3 linked regions of the Saccharomyces cerevisiae S288C genome follow. The protein of the gene in region 3 interacts with the protein of the main gene of each other region in a biochemical or structural test. Each region holds a gene or a part of one and is shown on either strand. Other genes may lie near its edges.

Evidence for each region. The genes of interacting proteins can lie anywhere in the genome.
Region 1: of the proteins of PCL1 (region 3) and GTS1, one has a biochemical effect on the other in vitro, tested with the Saccharomyces cerevisiae proteins (one study listed by BioGRID).
Region 2: of the proteins of PCL1 (region 3) and DMA1, one has a biochemical effect on the other in vitro, tested with the Saccharomyces cerevisiae proteins (2 studies listed by BioGRID).

What each region holds. Positions count from the first base shown.
Region 1 is NC_001139.9:153,930-162,291, reverse strand, and holds GTS1 (Gts1p), read right to left. Parts: upstream 4,387-8,362; coding exon 3,196-4,386; downstream 1-3,195. Other genes in the region: serine/threonine protein kinase ATG1, read right to left, coding at 1-2,227; MND1 (Mnd1p), read left to right, coding at 5,007-5,009, 5,093-5,749; cystathionine beta-lyase STR3, read left to right, coding at 6,280-7,677; YGL185C (putative hydroxyacid dehydrogenase), read left to right, coding at 7,986-8,362. UniProt on the Saccharomyces cerevisiae protein: Appears to modulate the timing of budding to obtain an appropriate cell size independent of the DNA replication cycle. Transcription factor involved in both heat resistance and flocculation.
Region 2 is NC_001140.6:336,914-345,741, forward strand, and holds DMA1 (ubiquitin-conjugating protein DMA1), read right to left. Parts: upstream 4,447-8,828; coding exon 3,196-4,446; downstream 1-3,195. Other genes in the region: APE4 (aspartyl aminopeptidase), read left to right, coding at 1-896; BZZ1 (Bzz1p), read left to right, coding at 1,170-3,071; COX23 (Cox23p), read left to right, coding at 4,752-5,207; protein channel TOM71, read left to right, coding at 5,436-7,355; ORC6 (origin recognition complex subunit 6), read right to left, coding at 7,408-8,715. UniProt on the Saccharomyces cerevisiae protein: E3 ubiquitin-protein ligase which functions in cell cycle retarding in conjunction with the UBC4 and UBC13/MMS2 complex, 2 E2 ubiquitin conjugating enzymes. Involved in nutritional control of the cell cycle. Targets the G1 cyclin PCL1 for destruction.
Region 3 is NC_001146.8:84,206-92,279, reverse strand, and holds PCL1 (Pcl1p), read right to left. Parts: upstream 4,384-8,074; coding exon 3,544-4,383; downstream 1-3,543. Other genes in the region: SEC21 (coatomer subunit gamma), read right to left, coding at 1-286; CCR4-NOT core subunit CAF40, read right to left, coding at 856-1,977; RFC3 (replication factor C subunit 3), read right to left, coding at 5,040-6,062; MID1 (Mid1p), read left to right, coding at 6,465-8,074. UniProt on the Saccharomyces cerevisiae protein: G1/S-specific cyclin partner of the cyclin-dependent kinase (CDK) PHO85. Essential for the control of the cell cycle at the G1/S (start) transition.

The sequences.
Region 1 (8,362 bases), on a different chromosome or scaffold from region 3:
TTAGCCACTGTACCAACACGTTAACTCTTAGAGAACATGATTTTTCTTGAGATTCATACCACCAGTTGGACGTTACCTGCATAGATTTTGATAAAATGGATAATGCCTTCATATATAAGACAATGGCCTCATTACATAGAAGGATCATTTCCGAACGTGGTAGTTTATTGAAAGTTGCACTCAACTGAGATGTGGCAGATAAAGTTCTACCCTTTCCAAAAGTTTTCGTGGATAAGCAATCTTCCTTGTACTTTTTCAACGTTTCATCCTCTTCTTCTGCATCGTCTGAGTCTTGTTCTTCTGCAATAGCATTACTATCCATACTGCGCCTGTTCTCAAAGTTAGCCATGCCTTTTAATGTTGTTGATAATGGAACAATTTGAGAAAATTTCACTTCTGCATAAGAGTAAACAACAAATGCCTTTGCGGCCAGAGATTCCAAAATACTAACGATATTAGTATTATCTAATTTCAGTGTCTCTGGATGCTGTAGGTGATCTATTCTTAATATTATATTCTCAGTAAGTTCATGAAAAAGTTGGGAATTCAACAAAGTTTGACTGTACGGTGGGGAAGATGTGATTTGTTGCTGTTGCTGCTGTTGATTTGCACCACCAAACAATCTCGTTGATGCAATACCGAGGGCTCTTGATAATGCATTAGATGGATTCAGCGAGGATATAGACAAGCGTCTATCCACCAAAGATGGTCGCCTAGACCCATCACTACCTCCACTGGAAGATGATGTGGCCCTCAGTAACCTCGGATTTTCTCCTTGATTTTGAAAATACTGTTGATTGTTTGGAGAGAATTGCTCATTCAATAAGACGTTCTGATTTTGAGTTGAAGTTGGGTGCTTAATAGGATTTGGATTGAATCCTGCTTGAGCAACCTCGTCTGCCAATGAATTAACTTCAACCGATTTCTTCTCTACCACCACATATTCTCTTTCAAAGCTTCTATCTGAAACTAGGCTATTATGGTATTTATTATTTGAAGCCTTTTTATCTACGGCTTGTGTATGGTCTGTTTTAACGGCTGGGGCAGTTAATATATTGCTGTTCTTGAGGGCATCACTGAGCTCCGCGGGATTATCTGCCATTGATTGATGACCTGCAAGATTACTGTTCGGACTCTTTGGCTGTTTAGATAAATACTCAGAAACGAACATATTACTTTCTACAATACCTTTTGATTTGGATTCTAACTCAGGTAAATCATCTTCCAATTCATAAGAAGACAAGTCTTCGTTGACTACCTTGTTAGCAAAAAACTCCTCAAATCCTATTCTTTGGGCTGGATCAAATGTCAATAAACTACATATCAACTCTTTTAACTCTGGTTCAATATTGCAATATGAAGGAAACGTTATGACATCGTTTGCTCTTTTAATTTTCTTGAATAACTCCAAATGATTGGAAGCTCTAAACGGTGGGGTGCCACAGCACATTTCGAATACCACTGTACCGACAGACCACAGATCTGCTTTAGCGTTATATTTTTGATAATTCAAAATTTCTGGTGCCATATATAATGGTGAGCCACAAAGAGTTTCTGCTAATGACGTGTTTGGCAAAAATCTTGCAAACCCGAAATCTGCTATCTTTAAAATGGGTAAGTTGTAGATCCCAACAAATCCAAGTTCATGGAAGCTTTTTGAATCATGATATCCAATTAGGGGTGTAGATAATAGTAAGTTTTGAGGCTTGATGTCTCTATGAACCAAGTTTTTAGACCTCAAAAATTTCAAAGCGGACGCTAACTGCTGTAAATAACTCAAGACAAACGCTCTATGCAGGCCGTTATGGTTCTCACTCGGTGGAGGGTATTTTTCAAATACGGTCCTTAGTAGAGGATGATTCTCCATCAATTCTTTACGCCTTTTCAACAGAAATGTTAGGTCCCCAAGAGCACAGTACTCCATGATCAAATAAAAATCTGTTGATGTTCGTTCACAGTCAATAAGTCCGACGATATGAGGATGCTTGATTTTCTTCAAGATAGCGATTTCTATTTCCAAATTCTCTAGTAATTTCTTATTTTTTAATTTCGCCCTTGATACTTCCTTTATGGCTACATGCTGAGATTTGTCGGATGTCAGATGCCCTCTATATACAGTGGCAAACGAACCCTTTCCGATTTCTTTCTCAGCGGTGTAATTTCCTGCACTTGCCATTAGATTATGGTTCACAGAGGTTGTGTGATCTTTATTTTTAATGTCTCCCATTTTCTTAATTTCTCGTCTGGTGTTGTAAAAGAGATTTGAAAATATGGGGTAGCTTCAAATTCGTTTTGTGGAGATATCAATGATTATTCTCCTATCTCCTTTGCCTTATGTTTTTATTATATTATATGTTATTTTATTATGGGTACTATTACTACGATTGTATTATATCTTTTTATCTTCTATAGTACTGTTCTCTGTTTCCCCAGAAACTAAAAAGGGTAAAAGATGGCCTTGGTACTTAACTTAAAGGTGATGAAATGTGGCGTTCTAGAATTAACCTCGGCCTAAAAAATAAAAAGCTAAAAAAAAATAGTACGATCAGGAAGATATTAATAATATAAGCTCCTTTATGAGATGCTCGATTCCTTTTGTTGCCAACTAAATGACGCTTAGAATTCCATCGATTCCACGATCGATATAGTTACAAATCACAAACTGATGCTGATGGGGGAAATGGTTTAAGAAATCAGAGCCGAGCGGTTAAAAAGAAAAACAGATGCTTGAATACGAATGATATGCTTGCTTCTTTAACGGTATGGCTTTCCAGTAATAGTTACTCCGATAAGATTCATTACAGATACACGAAACGAACAAGGAAAAGATGATTAACGGGAAAAAAAGAGAGTTCCTTATCTCATTGATTTTAACTAGTGGGTTTTCCTTACATTACCGCCCAATCCCTTTTTTTTTTCTCGCTCTCACCGGCGGAGCGCGAGCGGAAAACGCCACCCAGGTGACTTTTGCGCTAAGTGTGGATCAAATACAGTGGTATTAGTCATTGATGTGCAGCGTAAAACGTCCGGAGCAGCTGTGTAATGCGGCTGTGTAGGGTGAATACAATAGAGAATATGACTAATTCTGGTATATAGTCGTTGTTTACAGATATCTTTCGTTACTTAGTGTCATTTAATTACTTAGTGTCACTCTATATGATATGTAATGCGGAGCAGCGGCAATGTATCTTATTTTTATTGTGTGTAGAAATAACCTTGTGGCAGGTTTCCTCCTTGCGACATTTGCTGAAAAGATAATGGCGCCTGTTGCTGTTGCTGCATCTGAAGCTGTTGCATCTGGATCTGCTGTGCTTGAGCCTGAGCCTGGGCCTGAGCCTGAGCCTGAGCCTGAACTTGAGCCTGTGCCTGTGCCTGTGCCTGAGCCTGAGCCTGTGCGACAGCAAGCTGTTGCTGTTGCTGTTGCTGCTGTTGCATAGCCATGGCGTATTGCTGCTGATCTACATATATCATTCCGGTAGCAGGATCGTAATACTGTTGAAGGGTACCATCGAAAACTGCTGGCTTTGCTTGTACAAAAGATGCTGAATTTGAAGTAAAATCTGGCGTGATTACATTTGTACCATCAAAAATAGCTGGCTGTGGGCCACTTGTTGTCGCACGTCTCCTGGGCAGGGGCGGAGTTGATGTTGTCGCTGCTGCCGATACACTATTTCTTGAACTTGAACTTTTTTCTAGATAATCGATTGCTCTATTGATATTTCCGTGAGCGGACGATAATGCATCTAAATTTTTGTTTGTATCACCGAAACCCATGTCCTTGAGTTCTGCCAGTTGCCTAGAATATCTGCTTCCACTGCTTTGGAATGAGTCCCTGGAACCGCCGTAGTCAGACCTATTATGGCCCCCTTTATAGAAAGAATGAGATCTGCTCCTGCTCCTACTTCTATTTCTTTCATCAAACCTGTCCGATTCCCCATCAAAATCATCCATTCTGGATCCAAAGTCTTCAGGCTTTATTTCATCATACCTGAATTTACCCAAAATATACTTGTCTCTAATGTAATGCTCCACGATGGCTTTGTCATCATCTCCATCAAAAGGAAAAGGGACATTTTTAGGATTCCAGAACCGAGCATTCCCCTTATTGCCTCCAAGACTCACTAATTCATCGATATCCTCTCTTGTCCATCTATCCATTGATAGTGATTTAACGTTAGAAAAGGCATCGTCGTCTCTGCTACCGAAAACTTTTCTATGAACAGAGGCACACCTACCACAAAGGAAAACCCCCAAATTAACTGAGCACCAAGTTGGGTAGAAATTACCACATTCACCGCATTTATTGGCATTCTCGGACGAATTAATCAACTCCTTTAATTCTCTGTCAACATGTTTTAAGCTATGGGAAGAACTCCTAAACCTCATTTTTGACTAAGTATAAATAAACTATAATCTGTGATTGACAGAACGCTGCCTCCATCTATATTAATGATTGATCAAGAGAAAATGTTCTTCTTCCACCCTTTTGTGAAGCATTTAGAGATCAACACTAACTTTCTTCAACTTACAATAATTTCCGGGTGCCCCCATTTATCGATTACCCGGATCCGCTTTGCATCATAGTGTGTCGTTGTCGAAACAAAAGCGCCGTATTATTTGGTCAACGTTTAATAAAGTAAAAGCAGCATTTGAGATGCTCTATACAACCTTCTTAATTGCAACCGACATAAAGGTATGTTTTTCTCTTCTTATTATGACAAGGGAAACTTGAAGAAGAATTCGTGTCTTGCCATAATTTCAGCATCATCGTCTCAACCTAAGCCTCTTCTCACGAAGGCACGCTCAAATATCTTTCTGGCTCTAAAAATCTTGAATAACGAACCGAATTTACCATCTTTCCTGCTTTTTTATGCGTCGAAAAAAAGTAAAATAACCGCCCAGATCACGAAATTGCATATAAAAGGCGATCTCCCGTCCCACCGTTATTCTTTGCGATATAGACTAAACGGCGGAAACTTTATGTGTAGTATCATAAACATTCAACAATGGTATGTCTAATAAAACCATCATGGTACACAGGACTGAACACTAACTTATAGACGGGTGCGTGCTACCCTCTTCTTATTATTAGGGGCCAAAGAGACAGACAGTATCACTCCAAGAGAAAAAGAACCGGATTCTGAACTTTTTTCAAGAGACGTACACATTCTACAACATCAAGGAATTAGAGAAAAGCATACCTAAAAAATGCGGAATCTCACCCATGATCGTTAAAGATTTAGTGCAACAAATGATTGATGAAGACGGCGTCATTTCGGTGGAAAAATGTGGTAATATTAACATCTACTGGTGCTTTAAAAATCAGACACTGCAAAAATTGTATGATTCAAGCGAGTTGATAAAAAAAAAGATACAGGAAGTAAAGTGTGATATTGCCACTTATAAACAAGAACTAGACAAAACGCTAGCAACTGGAAGGCGTAAAAAATTTACGGTAGGCCAAAAATCATACAATAGGGAGGCTCTACTGGAAAAGAGAAAAAAAATTCAGGATGAAATTAAGAAAAAGAGTAATAGTCTCCAAAAAATAGAAAGCATTAGATGGGATGCAGCAAAAATACAAGAGAATAAACAACAGATCCGCCTAAAAAAAGTGCATCTGGAGAAAACTACTGATAACATTGAGATTCTCATTGATTATTTATACAAGAAATTCTTTTTGAAGCCAGAACAGATAAGAAAAGAATTTGGAATTCCAGAAGAGTTCAAGGAATTTACGGAGGTTTAACCTTCATGCACTATACACGAAAGAACAAAAGTGTCTTGATTATTACATCTACATTTCCAGGCATAGAGCTTGCAGATTAGCCGCCCATAAATTTGCCACACTGTTTTCCGTGGCGCCACAGTCCGCGTTTGGTTATCCGGCTGACTCATTCTGACTCTTTTTTGGAAAGTGTGGCATGTGCTTCACACAATATAATTCCCGTGAGCACAGCATGCTTCGGGCCGAAGTCTGTTGGAGGCATATGCTCCTACCTTGGAAGACTCATCGCATCTCAAAAGTGTGTAAAGGGGCCTTCTGGCCATATATCCTCTGAGACCTGGTTGAAATGTGGCCAGAAGCAAAGCTGATAAAAACAACTGGCGCATACGTAGCTATATTTTAAATAAATAAATAAATAAATATATATATATATATATATATATATATACATATATATACAGTCATTGCCACACATCCCATAGCTCTGTGTGCTTACAGTTCATTAAAAACAAAAAATATCAAGCAAACAACAAAAGCATAGAAGCAAAAAGATGCCGATCAAGAGATTAGATACAGTTGTGGTAAATACCGGCTCTCAAAATGACCAACATTCAGCCTCCGTGCCACCGGTGTATTTGTCGACTACCTTCAAAGTGGACTTGAATAATGAAGATGCACAGAACTACGATTATTCCAGATCGGGAAACCCGACCAGAAGTGTCCTTCAACACCAGATTGGTAAGCTTTATCGTGTCCCACAGGAAAACGTATTAGCTGTGAGCAGTGGTATGACGGCGCTAGACGTCATCCTGCGTGGGCTCGTCTTACTTAACGGCACTGACAACCATACGCCAACAATAATAGCCGGCGATGATCTTTATGGAGGCACCCAAAGGCTGCTGAATTTTTTCAAGCAACAGAGTCATGCAGTCTCTGTTCATGTGGACACTTCCGATTTTGAAAAGTTCAAAACCGTTTTCCAGTCTTTAGATAAAGTTGATTGTGTTCTTCTAGAGTCTCCGACCAATCCGCTTTGCAAGGTTGTAGATATCCCTAGAATATTACGTTTTGTGAAATGCATATCTCCCGACACTACAGTTGTCGTTGATAATACTATGATGAGTGGACTCAATTGTAATCCTCTTCAACTGAATCCAGGCTGCGATGTCGTATACGAATCTGCTACCAAGTACTTGAATGGTCATCACGATTTGATGGGGGGTGTTATTATCAGCAAAACACCAGAAATAGCCTCGAAGCTTTACTTTGTCATTAATTCTACAGGAGCTGGATTATCCCCAATGGATTCTTGGCTACTTGTGAGGGGCCTAAAAACTCTAGGAGTTAGATTATATCAACAGCAGAGAAATGCTATGATATTGGCTCATTGGCTAGAAAATTCATGCGGATTCAAACCTACCAGAACAAACAAGGCTACGAAAACTAGATTTGTTGGATTACGCTCCAACCCGGATTTCAAGCTGCATAAATCGTTCAATAATGGCCCAGGTGCCGTGTTATCCTTCGAAACGGGGTCCTTCGAACATTCAAAGAGACTGGTCAGTTCCAAAAAACTGAGTATATGGGCTGTGACGGTATCTTTCGGGTGTGTAAATTCGCTTCTATCTATGCCTTGCAAAATGTCCCATGCTTCCATTGATCCCGAATTAAGGAAAGAGAGAGATTTTCCTGAAGATTTGGTTCGTCTTTGCTGCGGTATCGAAAATATAGTAGATTTGAAGAAAGATTTATTAGCGGCGATGGTTGACGCTGATATTATAGAAGTAAGAGAAAATGGCAAATATCTTTTCAACAAATTGAATAAGAACCTAGCTGTGAACACTACCATCGATGACCTGCATAAGCCTTTAAGTATTTACGAAGAATTTTACAATCAAGATCTCATCAGAAAGGACTCAGAATTGAATATTAAGAGTTCGAAATTGTAAGGGAAAATATGCATGTACCTTTTTTTTTTTTTTTTATAAGGTTCAAATCCAAAGATAGTAACTTTAAATAGTCAAGTATATAGACAGAATTTCAAGAACAGTAAGTATATTAAACTTTTACAGCCTTTCGGGCTGTTCCGTAAGCTCTTACTACTACCCTTGGGAAACGCACGCGCGAAGGAGGAAAGTTTGCCTCAATGAACGTGTGTAATGGCGGTCGTAAAAGGAATATAGAAATAGCTGTGCTTTTATAACTTCACTCGACAATGGGTTGACAGCAGATTTAGAAGGAAAAGAGCATACAAAAAATGTGCGATTCTCCTGCAACGACTGGAAAGCCTACTATTCTTTTCATCGCAGATCCGTGCGAAACATCAGCCACACTTAATTCCAAGGCATTCAAAGAGAAGTTCAGGATCTTGCGCTATCAGCTGGACACCAAAGAAGCATTTCTTAACTTTTTAGAAAGGCATGAACAAGACAAAATATGTGCCATTTATGCTGGGTTTCCGGCATTCAAAAAAATCGGTGGGATGACTCGAAGTATCATCGAACACAAGTCATTTCCAAGGAAAAATTTAAAATGTATCGTGCTTTGCTCAAGAGGTTACGACGGATGGGATCTGGATACATTACGCAAGCATGAAATTCGATTATACAACTACCAAGACGATGAAAATGAAAA
Region 2 (8,828 bases), on a different chromosome or scaffold from region 3:
TTGGTGGTCTGCAAGAAGACAAAACTGAAGCGAAAACTGAAAAGGAAATTAATAACGGTGAGTTTACCTCCATAAAAACGATAGTACAGAGGCATCACGCAGAACTTTTGGGGCTAATAGCCAAAGAACTCGCCATTGATACAATTGAAGACATTGAAGACTTCGAATTGATCCTTTATGATCATAATGCATCCACTCTAGGTGGGTTCAACGATGAGTTTGTCTTCTCTGGTCGATTGGATAATTTGACATCTTGTTTCACATCAATGCACGGTTTAACGTTGGCGGCTGACACAGAAATTGACCGAGAATCAGGCATTAGATTGATGGCATGCTTTGATCATGAGGAGATTGGCTCATCCTCCGCCCAAGGGGCAGATTCTAACTTCTTGCCTAATATATTGGAAAGGTTGTCCATCCTGAAGGGGGACGGTTCTGATCAAACTAAACCTTTGTTTCACTCGGCAATATTGGAAACTTCCGCTAAGTCGTTTTTCCTTTCATCTGATGTTGCTCATGCAGTTCATCCAAACTATGCAAACAAATACGAAAGCCAACACAAACCCTTATTGGGTGGTGGTCCCGTAATCAAGATTAACGCGAATCAACGTTACATGACCAATTCACCAGGGTTGGTCTTGGTGAAAAGACTAGCAGAGGCTGCTAAAGTCCCTTTGCAATTGTTTGTCGTAGCTAACGACTCACCATGCGGTTCTACCATCGGCCCCATTTTGGCCTCAAAGACAGGTATTAGAACTCTAGACTTGGGTAATCCTGTGTTGAGTATGCATTCGATTAGAGAGACCGGTGGCTCTGCAGACCTGGAGTTCCAAATCAAGTTATTTAAGGAATTTTTTGAACGCTACACTTCCATAGAATCTGAAATTGTTGTCTAAACTGCAATTGTTAGATGATTCATAATCCGGTATATTTATTGCCCTCTTTTGTATTTTACAAATAGTAAATATATATAATATCTTGTGATCTACATAAGCTTTCGCGGGGTCTTCAGAAAAATAAAAAGTTTTTAAAAGAATATACGCTTAGCAAAGGAATAGACAGATTTAGTTTGTACGCAAATAGTTTTTGAAGAAGGTAGCAGATTGATCAATTTTGTATGAGCGGAAATCTATCCTTAAACGCCAACTACTACATTACTTGCAATAAAAATGAGTGCAGATTTATCGATTGGTAATGAAATTAAAGATTCATTTAAGGAAACCCATAAATGGGTCCAAAATAACTTAAAATGGTTGAAGGACATTGAGCAATTTTATCGGGAAAGGGCTAAGTTAGAAAAAGACTACAGCGAGAGATTATCTCGCTTATCAGCAGAGTACTTTAATAAGAAGTCTTCGACCTCAGTTCCTATCTCGGTAGGTGACACACCTACTACCACGCCAGGGTCCATTGAAGCTGCAGGTGTGGTTGCATGGAATGAAATTCTATCTCAGACTGATATGATTTCCAAGGATCATGATCAGTTATCAACCGACTTTGAAAATCATGTAGCAAATCAATTGAGTGGATTATTCACTAAACTTGATATGACTTTGAGCAAGATAAATGGATTTAACAATGACATGGTTAATAAAAAGGATAACATTTACCACGAACTGGAAAAAGCGAAGAAGGACTATGATGAAGCCTGTTCCACTATGGAAATGGCAAGAAATAGGTATACCAAGGCATCTAATGATAGAAATAAAAAGAAGTTGGATGAAAAAGAAATGGAGATGAACAAGTGTAAAAATGAATATTTAATCAAGATCAACCAGGCAAATAGAACTAAGGATAAATACTATTTTCAAGATGTTCCTGAAGTGCTAGATCTTCTACAAGACGTAAATGAGGCAAAGACCCTTTTCTTAAATGATCTGTGGTTGAAGGCGGCTTCTGTCGAGAACGATCTGGGTGCAAATGTCAGCAAAAGACTCCAGGCGGCAAATTCTGTTGTCAAGCAGAATAAACCCTCTTTAAACACGGCCATCTTTATCAAGCACAATCTAAAGAATTGGAAAGAACCACAAGACTTTGTCTATAAGCCATCTCCAGTATGGCATGATGATGAAAAATTTGCTGTTCCCTCGTCGTTGGAAGTTGAAGACTTGAGAATAAAACTGGCAAAAGCAGAAAATGATTACAATTCATTGCAAGATAAAACTCAAAATGAGTTATCCAAACTGTCTACTTTGAACAAGATAAAGCACGAAATGAAAACTAATGAAGATAATATCAATGCCACTAAGTTTTATGATACACTAAAGGAATACTTAAATGTCGTTTCACCCTTTACCTCACACGAAACATTAAAATTGCAAGCCGAAGTTCAAATCGAAAGTATTCAGAATAATGTTCCTGAAGAATACGATTTATCCACAGACAATATTGATCTTTCCAAAACAAAGAAGAAATCCGGGATATTCAGTAAGTTCAAACACAACATCCTGAACGTCGACTCGAAGCCTTCGAGTGGAGGGAGCACTGGTAATGGCAACGGAGGACCCTTGCATATAACAAGTCTCTTCAACACATCAAGAAGAACTAGGCTAGGCTCTGCCCCTAACAACGCTGGTGAAGATTCAGATAATAATTCTATACGCACCACTAGTACCAACAATACAAAAAAGACCACACAAAATTCCAGTGATGACGGCAAGAATAAAGTGTTGTATGCATACGTACAAAAGGATGATGACGAAATCACCATTACGCCAGGAGACAAAATCTCTTTGGTTGCACGCGATACGGGTTCTGGATGGACTAAGATAAATAACGACACCACTGGGGAAACCGGCCTTGTACCCACCACATATATTCGCATATCTAGCGCGGCTACAGTTAAAGCAAATGATAGAGGCCCTGCACCAGAAGTACCACCACCAAGAAGGAGTACACTACCTGTTAGGACGATGGAGGCCATATATGCCTACGAAGCACAGGGAGATGATGAGATTTCAATTGATCCGGGGGACATAATTACTGTTATCAGAGGCGATGACGGTAGCGGGTGGACATATGGTGAATGTGACGGATTGAAAGGTCTATTTCCTACAAGTTACTGTAAATGAACGAAGGAATGAACTGAAACTATTAAATATTTTCCCTGGCCGCCACTTTTTTGAGAGGTATGACGACTCTATGTTATATATATATATATATATATATATATATATAGCACAAAATTTCATGTGATCAATCTACTAGGCGAACACCTAAATTGTTATTTATTTCCATGTCTATATCCATTTCAATGTCTGGCTCATCTTCGTCCTCGTTTTCGAATTCGGATTCAGATTCGGATTCCAAGGTAGTCTCCAAATCACAGTTTGTCCTACAGTTCGGACACATGAATTGAGGATAATTCATAATAACCAATCTTCTTACACAATGAAAATGCCAACTATGGGCACATGGTGATATAAAAATGGCTTGGCAAGGTTTTATTTTGTTTAGACAAATGGAACAGTCTTCTTGTTCTAAACCAGTAGTTAGTTTCTGTAGATTTTTTATTCGGCTCAAGGCTTCTTTATTAAATGCATTGGCCTTTAATTTCCAAGACTTGTTCAATTCTATTTTCATCTTAACACAACGATATATCTCTTCCGTCCCGCCGCGAAAGTCCATACCCAGCTGTATGATATCTCCGTCATGTAAAAGGTAGTCCTTAGAAGTGGTAGACGCAGAAGATAGACGCTGGTGGTTCAAAAAGGTCCCACTGGAAGACTTGACATCTTTCAAAAACCAGTTTCCTTGGTCATCAACTTTGAAACACCCATGGGTCCTGGATATCACTTTTGATTTGAACACTACGGGATGATACTGATCTGGAATTTTGGAAATTGCCTCTCTTACTCTTTCGGTGTATCTTCCGATGATAATTTGCGAGCCTGCGCCCGCAGTCCTGATAATGGGGTCAAAGAAAAGACCCTGGTTAGCCACAGACGTGGATGAAGTATCTATAAACGGGGTTAGCCTAATGCTGAAAAGCCCGTGCTTGTCCATTCTGCGTTTCAAAGTAGATTGGTCTATCCGTTCCGGTAGCGAGGTATTTGGTGGGAGATGTATATCAAGTGAAAACTCCGTCTGATTGACTTGGTTTGGAGGATATATGAAATGGCGGATACTCTTTGTAGTGTTCACCGCGGGGGCTGTATTCGTCTCCACAGTGGCAGCAGCAGCAGCAGTAGCACCAACATTGCCGTTTGCGCTACCGTTATTTGCAACGACTAAAGAAGTAGCCGTACGCGAGGGCAAAATACCTAAACCATTGCTAACGCTATTATTATTGCTGTTATTGTTAGGCGTATCGTTAATGGTGAGAGAGATGGATATCGGTAGTCTGATGGGATTGTTGAACTTGGTGTGATCGTGAGAGGTAGCGATGCCAGAAGCAGCAGGTGGCGTCTGGTTTGGGGGAGATGAGGGAACAGTATTAGTAGACATCCAGGAATAACCACTATACAGAACGTATGTGCACAGGAAATCGACACTGTAAGAAGAAAAGCTCACGGCACAAGAGTCAGAAACAGGGCAGTGAACAAAGAACGAGAAGTACGGTTTACAGTTGAGCCGTACACCGAGTTCCTCTTTGAATAATATCGAACCTATACACTAATGCACTAATGTGTTTCTGTTCACACCCAGAATTCTAAGGCTCCTGCTGATCCCAATGCTAAGGTTTATCAATTTTCTCATTCTCTTTGTGGGCCGTAAACAGTGATATTCTCTCACGAGAGCGCTTAAAGAGAATGGAGAAGCCCAGCCCCACCAGGCGGCAAACTAGTAGTCTCTCCACTATCTCCAACGGTATGACCATGACCAACGATAATAGGGATACCACAAATACCAACAGTGGCTCTACAAGCAGCAACAATTCACAACCATCTTCGTCTTCCACGCCACCAGCGGCCAGTGGACCCGTAACGGACAGAACCAAAGTCAACTATGTACCAAAGAGCGACGATCCGTCGTCATTTCAATACTACCCAGACGACCCGGAGAACCCGGTCAATAAGTATAAATTCGCGTTAAAGGCTGACAGTCAGTACTATGATCCTTGTGAGGAGTCCTCCAAGCTCAGTTTTCAGTGCCTCGAGCGCAACGATTACGACCGATCCAAGTGCCAAGAATATTTTGACGCATACCGCGAATGCAAGAAACAATGGCTGACAGCCAGGAGGAAAAACAGACAGCAGTGGGAATGAGGCAGCCTTTTCTTCTTGTTTGTTCAGCTGTGATCTGTTTTCTATATAGATCGCCACTACGCGACGTAGTGTTCCGACAGGCAGCCACAGCACACTCTAGTGCAATGTGAAAAACTAATTCGCAATGGTATGTAAATAAGCAAGCTAAATTGGATTTTCAAAGTGCGAATAAAGAATTTTTTGTATATATCTCTACATACTTGTATATACCGAACATAAGAAGCTCTTATGGCCGAAAACTCCCTCCTGAGGTTTATCACCAAGAACAAAGTGGCCATCCTAGCAACGGTCTCTGCGGGGACTGCTGCTGTGGGTGCTTATGTTTACTACCAGCAAATTAAGCAGCAGCAACAGCAGCAATTGAAGGGTACAAAAGACAACCGACGTCAAAGTGAGGCCTTTGCTGGTCAAAATGAAGACGAGGCGGACTTAAAGGACGACGGCAGCGTCGTAAGTGGAAGTAATAAGAGGAAGAAGAAGAAGAATAAACGCAAGAGGAACAATAAGGCAAAATCGGGAGAAGGGTTTGACTATCCCTCCTTGCCCAATGGCGAGCCTGATATTGCCCAATTGAAAGGCCTATCACCCTCCCAGAGACAAGCGTATGCCGTGCAACTGAAGAACAGAGGTAACCACTTCTTCACTGCTAAGAATTTTAATGAGGCCATCAAATACTACCAGTATGCCATTGAGCTGGACCCGAATGAACCAGTGTTCTATTCCAACATATCTGCTTGTTACATTTCTACGGGCGACTTAGAGAAGGTTATAGAGTTCACTACAAAGGCACTTGAGATAAAACCTGACCATTCTAAAGCCTTGCTGAGACGTGCATCTGCCAACGAGTCACTGGGCAACTTCACTGATGCTATGTTTGATCTATCTGTTTTGTCATTGAATGGTGACTTTGATGGAGCCTCCATTGAACCTATGCTGGAAAGAAATTTAAATAAGCAAGCAATGAAAGTACTAAATGAAAACCTATCGAAGGATGAAGGCAGAGGCTCGCAGGTTTTGCCGTCTAACACATCTCTGGCGTCATTTTTTGGGATTTTTGACTCTCACTTAGAAGTTTCTAGTGTGAACACCAGTTCAAACTACGATACTGCATACGCTCTATTGTCAGATGCTTTGCAAAGACTATATTCTGCAACAGATGAAGGTTACTTAGTAGCAAACGATCTTTTAACAAAGTCCACTGACATGTACCACTCTCTACTTTCTGCAAATACAGTGGACGATCCTTTAAGAGAGAATGCTGCCTTGGCATTGTGCTACACGGGTATTTTCCATTTCTTAAAAAATAACCTGTTAGATGCCCAAGTTCTTTTACAAGAATCTATAAACCTGCATCCAACACCAAATTCGTACATATTTTTGGCATTGACCTTGGCCGATAAAGAAAACTCTCAAGAATTTTTCAAATTTTTCCAAAAAGCTGTTGATCTAAACCCTGAGTATCCGCCAACCTATTACCACCGTGGGCAGATGTATTTTATTCTACAAGATTATAAAAATGCCAAGGAAGATTTCCAAAAGGCCCAAAGCTTGAACCCTGAAAATGTTTATCCCTACATTCAATTAGCCTGTTTGTTGTACAAGCAAGGTAAATTTACCGAATCTGAAGCTTTTTTCAATGAAACAAAGTTGAAGTTTCCTACCTTACCTGAGGTGCCCACCTTTTTCGCTGAAATCTTGACAGATAGGGGCGATTTTGATACTGCAATTAAACAATATGATATTGCTAAAAGGTTGGAAGAAGTGCAAGAAAAAATACATGTGGGTATAGGACCCTTGATTGGGAAAGCAACTATATTAGCTAGACAATCCTCTCAAGATCCAACCCAGTTGGATGAAGAGAAATTCAACGCAGCCATTAAGCTGCTGACAAAAGCCTGTGAATTAGATCCACGATCTGAACAAGCGAAGATCGGGTTAGCACAACTAAAATTACAAATGGAAAAAATTGACGAGGCCATAGAATTGTTTGAAGATTCTGCAATTTTAGCAAGAACTATGGATGAAAAACTTCAAGCTACTACCTTCGCGGAAGCTGCAAAGATACAAAAGCGTTTGAGGGCTGATCCAATCATAAGTGCAAAGATGGAGCTAACATTAGCTCGTTATAGGGCTAAAGGCATGCTTTAGAAGATATGTCAGGTATTGGTCAAATATATACTTTTAGTTAATACTGGATATGTTATAAAGGTTCTGTTAATGCCAAATCCATTTCAATTCTTTTCTTCCAAATATTGTACTGGTCGTCTGTGACCAAAATATTGGTGGTTTGTAACATCGATCCCAGTTTCCTAAATATAATTTCATCGTATCTGATGCCATCAAAATCATCATACCTAATTTGCAAATCTCTGAACCATTTTTCACCGATAATTAATTCCTTCACTAATTTTACACATTCAATAACATCATCCACTTTTGACGTCAACATCAAGCTGCACATCTTACTGACTATAAAATGGTCAATTCTTGGATCCTTGCGTCTTCTTTCATTAAATACAATGAATGTACAATTTAATACTAACCCACACACTAATTGCCATGGGCAAACCAATCTTGACGCGTTTATGTTGTACTCATCCACAATTTTATATGCTACTTCTCTTGGTAATTCAAAATCGTTGCAAAGCCGTATTATTTCTTCAGTAGTCATTTTGCAATACTTCTTTACTAACAAAGAATTTGGTATTCTGCCCCTTTTCCTCAGGGCTTTTGCCGTCTTCAATTCTGATTGCGGTTTTCCAACTGCCTTATTTTGTTTCGTTCTCCCGCTTCTGCTTTCTTGCACACCTAATGGCTCTTCCTCACTTGTAGGGTCACTTTCATGGTTTTCATACTCATCAGAATCTACATTTCTGGTTCCAGTAATGCTCTTATTACTATGGCTTTTTAAAGACAAACCGTCGTTTCCTGGTTCCTCTTCATCCTCATCCTCATCCTCTTCAAATGCTAACTTTCTCCTAGTAATAGACGGCGATTCATTGGTTTGCATGGGGGGTAGTTCTGGTATTACGAACGAATCATTATTTTGGCTTTTCCTAACTTTAGTTGGTGTACCAAACAGTTGATTCCTCAACTCTTTCGGATCAGAAGAAGTAAACCTCCCACCGTTCTTTACTGGACTGCGTTTGTTCTTTTTGGGGCTCGGTGTCCAAGCAAATTGTTTCATAGGTGAAGAATTAGATAAACTTTGTCTGAAAAGGTTCATTAAATGCTTGGCTTTTTTCGGCTCCAAGGGAATACTGTCTATATAATAGCAAAGGTCAGGCATGTGTTTTTCATTCATTTTCTGTGACGCTATGTATGCACATATGTGACATCTAGCAACCTCTTCATCTTGTTTCAGCATTACCTTGTTCAGTGAAGTATTATATAAAATCGATGTCGCATTAGTCAACTTCTTCAAATATCCGCTCGACCAGTCCGGTTTTTCTTGTGGATCTAGTCGAAGTACTTCTGCGACACAATGTTGGACTTGTTGCATGGACATGACTGGTTTTAATGGTATTGTTTTGGCCAATTTTATTTACTGATATTGTACACTTTTTTCTGCAATTTTAGTGTGAGATTTTTTTTTTCAATGCCGATTTCTTACTAACGTAA
Region 3 (8,074 bases):
AAATGCCACTCAATTCCTTGATTGCCAAATAAACAGCCTGCCTTAAAGGATCGTTCTGGTGTTGAAATAATTTGGAGATAGAGAAAAATAATGCAGTTGCTTCATTCTGTGGGAAGGTTTCGCCCTGGGCCAAGAGTCTCAGCAAGCGAGAAATCAATAAACGACATCTCTTGGAATTGACAGGTGATTCGTTAAACGTGTTCATACAATCCTGATAAATGGTCATTTTATCAGGTAAATCGCCCGAGGTCGAGTTTTCAAACTTTTTGTAAGTATGTGCAGACATGTTGATTCGCTCTGTGATTTAGTATCGCTTCTTGGCTTTTGTCCTATCCGTATTTGTTTAGTTATTTTGTATTATACGTCGTTCTGTAATGTTTGCGGGCTCACCTGGATGAAGCTAAGAACAAAAAAACGGGTTTAGCAGAATAACTGAAGAAGTACGTTGGTAATGAGCACACACAATTCCTCCCTTGCACTTATTTGTAAAGAATTGTGTTCTCAACAATGCAACTCGTATCCAAAAAAACGCCTATGTATATTTCATTGATCTTGACGAAACCTTTAGATTTCGAAAAAAATAGAATCGTGGTTCGTGGCGTCGTAGTGAATGACACAAGGGGTACATTCCGGGTGATAGGATGAAAAATGGGTAATAGTAATAGTACAGAAGAACCTTCTGGCACTTAACTTAAACCATTCTGAAATATGAGTGGACTTTATACATTTCATGCATATAAATATAACTATACAAAATTAGGAGAGGTGAGGAAGTGAAACTAAAACAAAAAGGCAAGGTTAAAACAATACAGGAAAATAGAAAGAGAAAAACAGTAATATATCTATGGGGATGCATCATGAGGTTTCTTCGTTTAATGTCAGTAGCAATTGTGCCAGACATCTCTTGGACCCGACGTCGTCTCTTAGTACTTCCGTAAAAGTGTTATCTCTCAGTTTGGCAGGTAAGACTATTTTCAATAGCCTGCGTGCTTCGAGATCGTCGCTTAATCTTAAGTAGCATCTAATGATATGTTTCAGTAGTCGTCCCGGTGGTGTGCTCACGGTCAAGTGCTCAACCATATCTTTTAAGACATTAGTTACGGCGTAGAACCTTTCCAAGGTGGCACAGATGTATTGCAATCCAACGTCATCTAGTAGGATTTTCTGTAAAATGAAAATGGCGACTGTCTTGGAAAGCTCAGAAGAAGATTCCATGATCCTTAGGCATAACGGCACGATATCGGTTCTTAGCAAAAACGTTATTACGTCTTGTGAGTCATTTTTGACCAATGCGCCTATCACACCTAATGAAGTCAATCTCAAGTACTCAAAAGTTCTTTGCCTGGAGGTAGTATTTAGGAAGGGGAAAAGAAAGAGAGGAATATGGGCCTGTAAAAAGAGATGTTTTGTCTCTGGGTGAGATGCAACACACTGTAGAAGAACTAGAGCGTTGCATACACGATTTGATAGATTGTTAGAGAGCATCTGAGGTTGCAGCATGGGATATACGGAAATGATTTCGTTCAGCAATGAGGTCATTACACCAAAGGAAGACCAAAGCACAACGGCAAGGTCATCAAACTGTTCTCTTTTGCGACCTAATTCAAGCAGTGCTTGTTCCTTTTGAGGGCCGTAGGTCAATTGACAAATCCAGTGGTATACATTGGGATCATCTAGAGCATGCACTGCGCCTCTATTATTGACCATGTTGGGATTGTTTCGAGTTGCGTTAGCATCGTTACCGCCGTTATTGCCGTTATTGCCGTTGTTCTCGCCATTTTCATTGCTATTATTATTATTCGGAGTATTGCCCATTAGCATGGGGCCTCCACTTGGAATTTGTTGATTCATGCCTGGACCCATTGAAGTTGGAACCCCAGGCATGGACATAGATCCTGGATTATTAGTTGAAGGACCACCACCACCCATGTTCACGCCTGCTCCATTGCCATATATTGGCTTTTGAGCGGAAAACATATTAACTTATTCAGAGGATGTTCAGTTGCTGTCGTTGTTGCTTCAGGAACAAAGTTTAATCTCGTCAAGATCAGCAGAAACACACACACTCGCAAATTTGTCAAAACTTGGGAGTTTTAAAAGATGAACGGTTTCTAACTTGCGTACTCTACGTCTTTGCAATCCCTTTACAATGTCTTCTATGCGTAAATTACTTTAAATTTGGATTTTGCCTCTTGCTGCTCGCAGCAAAATTCTCAGCATGTTGAGGTGTGTGGGTGGAGTTTTTCCTCTCCTGCTAGTAATACTTATGCAAGAATCTACGTCTAATGAGGTGCTCACGTTTTGCAATGATGATATAAATAGGGACAGTAATCTAATATAGACAAGTGGGCGTAATAGGGTTTTCTTCTCTCTCTTATGCATTCTGTAAGCATCTCGCTTTATGTGAGGAATAGTAGTAAAAGCGTATGATACAGGGAAATAGTAGTACTTTTACAATAGTATTGCTACTTGCATTCCCAAAAACATTCAATAAATGCACTTGGTTTCGAGCGTCTTTTGTTTATTTTTAAGTTTTGTTTGTTTTTTTTATTGTTTTGCTTCGTAGTTTCAATTTTAAACATTAATGTGTGCAAAAACTATAAGACAATGGTATACGCAAGAAAAACTATAAGTAGCATATTTAGTCTACTCCGAGCCATATCGGAAAGAACAATGTCGCGTCTTGCAAAGGCTGTTAATACATAGAATAGGCCACTCCAGGCATGTAAATACATGATTGATTGGATGAGCAACACTGAAATGGACCAGTGGCAACCTAACAGGATTTCTGATCTATTTCACGCCCAGAAAAAAGGCGTACATTCTATAATCTACTTAACAGACCTATACAAGCACTGTCCTACATATTTCAAAAGATTTAATTTACATATCGATTCCGTTCAACGTAAACAGTTTGCTCATAATACAGTCACAGATGTGAGAGAAAAAAAAAAAAGAAAATAAAGGAAAATGGATCAGAAATTTGGGTATACTTAATGCTTCATAGGACACCTGAGTACTTGTGGCATCCATGTTCAGACTGGTGCACAGCTTTTTTCTCGTCATTTACCATTTTTCCTTGAATTCATGTTTAATTTTCATCTTCGTCATGTGTTAAGGTACTATTACGAAACAAAATGTTAACGCCTTTGATAAACTTATCAAAGTTACGAGACCGGTTCGCACTACGATACTTTGCTATTGCTTCATTTTTTCTATCATATGTAAAACATAAACCACTGAGAGAAAACTTCTGCATTTAAATCAAATATGTCCGCCTTTTATACTTTAAGAAGAAAAAATTTATCTTTTTTCTTCCTCATATTGCAGGTATCACCCGAATGGAAGTTATAACGGCACAATCACTTAGGGCTTAACATACAATAACAAATACCATTTTTAATGTTGTGTTCAGTTGATTGTTATTATTATTAGGTATCCTTGATTATTTAAATTTATAATATATTATGTATCCGTTAATTATGCTCTATTAAAAATCTTTCTCCCACTAAGAGCCCCGTAAGGGCCATCTTGTTTACCACATTAAAACCCATGTTGACTCATGATCTGTTCCAGATCCCAACTTTGCCTGTTGACATTGTCGTTCCATTTCTCTACCGTCCTGACGTAATTCGTGTTAGCGACTGTGTTGTTCGCTATGTTGGTTACATCTTTTAGCCTTCTTAGATCATTACAACTGTCGACTAGAGTAGCAGAACTTAAATCGGATGCTATCGACACGTTTCTCTGTTTTTCGTAGAGTTTGAATCTGTTGTTTGATCTGATAGGACTCGTGCCAGCACAAGTCCTTCTGTTCATGGACATCATCATGTTAATTCTCTTCCTTTGGTCGCTGGATCTTGCCAAGTCTTGCTTGATGGGCTCTAATAGAGGCTGCAGATCTAGGATCAAATCTTCTGTGTTCACCCTGAGGTCCCAGTTCAACAGCTGTAACAACTGCCTTTCCATAAGGTTGATATCCTCTAGTGTAAAGAGACCATCGGTGTACCTAGCCCAGTGCTTGTTTAAAGGAGAAGAGTCATTGTGAAACTTAGCACTCAGTATCAAACAGGCCAAGAAAATGCGATGGATGGTCGAGGGGAGACCAGTAGCGTCCCTGGGCAGAATACGCTTTAATTTGTTCAAATAGCACGCAGCGGTGAGCAGAGTGGGTGTGTAGACGTTGGTGTATCTGACCAATCTAGTGATAAAAGTCATTAGCGATGGCAGCCTTGTGAGGTGTTTCTCTCCTGGAGAACCGGGAGGCGTGGGGTAGTTGCTTGAAGGAACAACCCTCAATGTTGTGTCTGTTAAGAATTTTATTATGTCATCCGTTACTGGCGACTTGAGCAGAATATGAAGAGCCTTGCTGTATTCACACATTTTATTACTTTACTGTTATTTGTATAATTGATTGTTTTTGTTATCGTTTTTGTTCTTGACAATGGATGATTGCTGATGTACGCAATAGTAATTCCAAGACACAAGAGTTAAGGACAAGCTTATCAATCCCATTACCATGTAGGCCTATTGACCTTATATATGTTTTCCTATCGCTATATGGAAGCTACCATTCCTTTTATTCTCCATAATAACGCCAAAATCTGCCCACAGCCTTGTAGCCTCATTTGGCTCCCGACATTTCGAGTCGCTTTTGCGTCGCATGCCTCCGCGAAAAATTTCGCGCCGGACGCGATTTTTAACACGAAATTCTTGTTCGTGCCGCTGTTGCCCTTTTGGGAAATATTTCCCGATCTGGCATTCGCAGAACACTAGAGCCAGAGTTCTGCCATTCTTTACGTCCAAGAGGTTAAAGTACAGATCACGTAACGGAATGCTACTTTCTGTAACAATTTGGCGATTCGCATTCTCAGTTGTTAGCTAGACGCCAATTGATTTACGGTTTCCGGTATGCAAATTGAAAATGCTTTCATCTATTTCTTTTATTTTTTTTATTTCGTTCTGGGCGTTGTGTTATGTTGTTATATTGCACAATGCAGTTGTTCTGTACATATTGTATCTATACATATTTGCGTCGATTATACGTTGGCTTTAACAGTTTCGTTCTCGAAGCTGGCCTTGATGGCGCCAATGACCGCGCTGCCCTGAATCTGGTCGTTGCCACCCTTGGATATCGAGTACTCTATATCGGCCAGTTTGGTAAGCAAATGCACTCTTGTTTCCTCATTTTGAAGTTCGTAGTCTTCCAGTATCTTCACTATGCCCTCGATTAGGTCGATCAACGCGAGACCCTTGGCACTGCGTACCTTATTAAGTGTGTAGTGGGCGGTACCCCAATCGTCCTCCAGTATCGACTTCAATACTGCCTTTAAGTCACTTGGTCTGGGTGCCCCACAGCATTCATAGATAACGTCGTCACTGATCTCATCCTCGTCGGGATTGTCTAAAGTAGCTTTGCAAGACTGCAAAACGTTTAACACACGTCTCATATCCCCATTAGAAAGTTCTATTAAGGCCTTCTCCGCATTAGGAGACAACTTCAGCTTCTCATGCACCAAGACGTTGGCTATCCGACGCTCAATGGCCTCTTGGGGCAAGGGCTGAAATCTGAATCTCGTGCACCTACTCAATAACGCAGGTGTAAGTTTATGCGCATAATTGGCCAATACACAGAACCGCGTATTCTTGGTGTACCGTTCTATAACTCTTCTCAACGCATTTTGTGCGGCATTGGTCATGGCATCTGCTTCATCCAGTATAATTAACTTGAACCCTTTAGAGAAGATTTGTCTTGTAGAGGCAAAGTCTTTAATTTGATTCCTCACCACATCAATACCTCTGTCATCGGATGCATTCAGCTCCAAAACCATGTTCGAGTAATTCTTACCATATATCTCACGTGCCAAAGCAACAATTGTAGAAGTTTTACCGGTACCTGGAGGCCCATAGAATAGAAGATGTGGCAATTTACCTTCATCTACAAATTTACGAACTGTGGTGATCACCTCATTTTGTCCGTACACTTCGTCCAACGTTTCGGGTCTGTATTTTTCAACCCATGGAAGGTTTTCTTTGCTCCTCTTCTCTGTACTTGTCGACATTCTTGTATGTCGGGCCTGTTCCTACACCTTTTATAAAATTATTCAAGCTTTGAAAAGATATTTATCCTGTGCTCTTTATAGCTTCTTTCCATTTCTTTCAAAATCGCGTACTGACCAAAAAAAAAAAAGATCAAAATTGAGAAGCCATACATAATATAATAATGATATAGTTTCGCTGCCATCGGACCGCAATAGTAACTCTACAAGTAAACGTGTTGTTTTCTCAAGAACAGGTTACTGAAACTGAGCCATTGGTTGCGGAAAATTTCCCTAATAATTTCGACCGGCTGACGTACCGTTTTGGCTATTTCTCAAATACTTGACTGGCTTAACTGCCATACTGAATTGCAGTAAAACCCGTAACACTACAATTTCTGTCCAGCGGCAGTATTATTTCTAAGGATGATAGTGTGGCAAGCACTATTCGTGGTTTACTGCCTATTTACCACTTCTATTCACGGTTTATTCCAAGACTTCAATCCTTTCGCAAATAAGAATATTTCCTTAAAGTTTCCCAGCCTAAATAGATGGGAGAAAAACGTTATGGCTACTGGTCAACAAACAATCATCAATTCGGATAGCATTTATGAATGGACCCCGATCTTATCTAACATAACAGCGGGCAAAAAAGACAGTTTTGTATTTACCATTGACGCAGAAGCCTCCGGTTATGGGTTTGCTCCCACGTATGAAGTGTTAATGTTTATTAGCGGCAATATATGCCAAATGCCCATGAATAGATCAGATGTGGATTTAACAATATACTACTCTTTTAATGAAACGGTTTTAGAGAACCCAAATATAGGTCAAAGTGCAGTTTTTCAGGATGGCTACATCCAAGCATTAGCCATCAGTCCAGTGCAGTCTTCTAGCTCGAACGCTACCTCCACGTATTCAAATCTTTATGTGGTCGCTGAGCTAGTGAATTCCACTACGGAGCAACCTCTGTCCAGTTCCGACGCCTCTGAAAATTGGGAATATAGACTGAGTATCTCTGAGAACGATTTGGTTTTTCAGTGGGATGTAAGGCCTTGGGTAGAGGTCCTGGACACTGATATGAATTCTGCATTACTATCAACGGGGAATGTCACCGCAGACGCCAAAGTTTATCACAATTATTCAATATATGATCCATCCTTGTACGATCTGTATGTTTACTCGTACGAAGATTCTGTTCAACTAAACCAAAACTATAATTTATCTCTTTGTGCTGTGAAAAATGGACCATATTTAGTGTCTTCCCAAAATACATCAAATGCAACAGTTACGTCAAATAGTACAAATCCTTTAGAGCGTACTGACTTGGCGATTCAAAAAAAAATTACAGAATATGGTGGTAGCGTGACAGAAATGTTTTACGTGACAGGACTGAATGCCTCAACAACTTATGTAGCGTACCTGACAAAGAAAATCAGTAATGGTGATGGGTTGTCAAGTGTGGGCGGCATTTTATTTTCACATGTTTATTTTACCACAAGAAGTACCGATGTCTGCTCTTTGATCTTTGGTTTGGACTTCTGCAGTGACGTCGCTTACTCTGTTCCTACATCCTCATTTTCTGTGGGTAATAAAACTCTCATGGCGCAGACATATGACCACATTGCAGAGGCACTATATGCAAATTTTAGCAAAGCTCTACAGTTAATATCCTGTGACGCAGACAAAGACGCAAGATATTCTCCGGTCATGACTTGTGACGATTGTGCCGAAGCTTATCGTGATTGGGTATGTGCAGTATCAATTCCGAGATGCACCACGACGTCTTCCCAATACTACATCCACAGAGATAAAAGTCACAACCGTAATGATTATTTGAATAAATTTATTAAACCTTTGGATGACTATTACGAAATTCTACCTTGTATTGACATGTGCTATACATTAGTACGAAATTGCCCAAGCGATTTTCAATTTTCCTGTCCGAATGATCTTACTACGGAAGATCTTCTTTATCAAAGTTACAATTTCTATATGGACACTGACTACTCAACCTGTAATTATATAGGTAACTC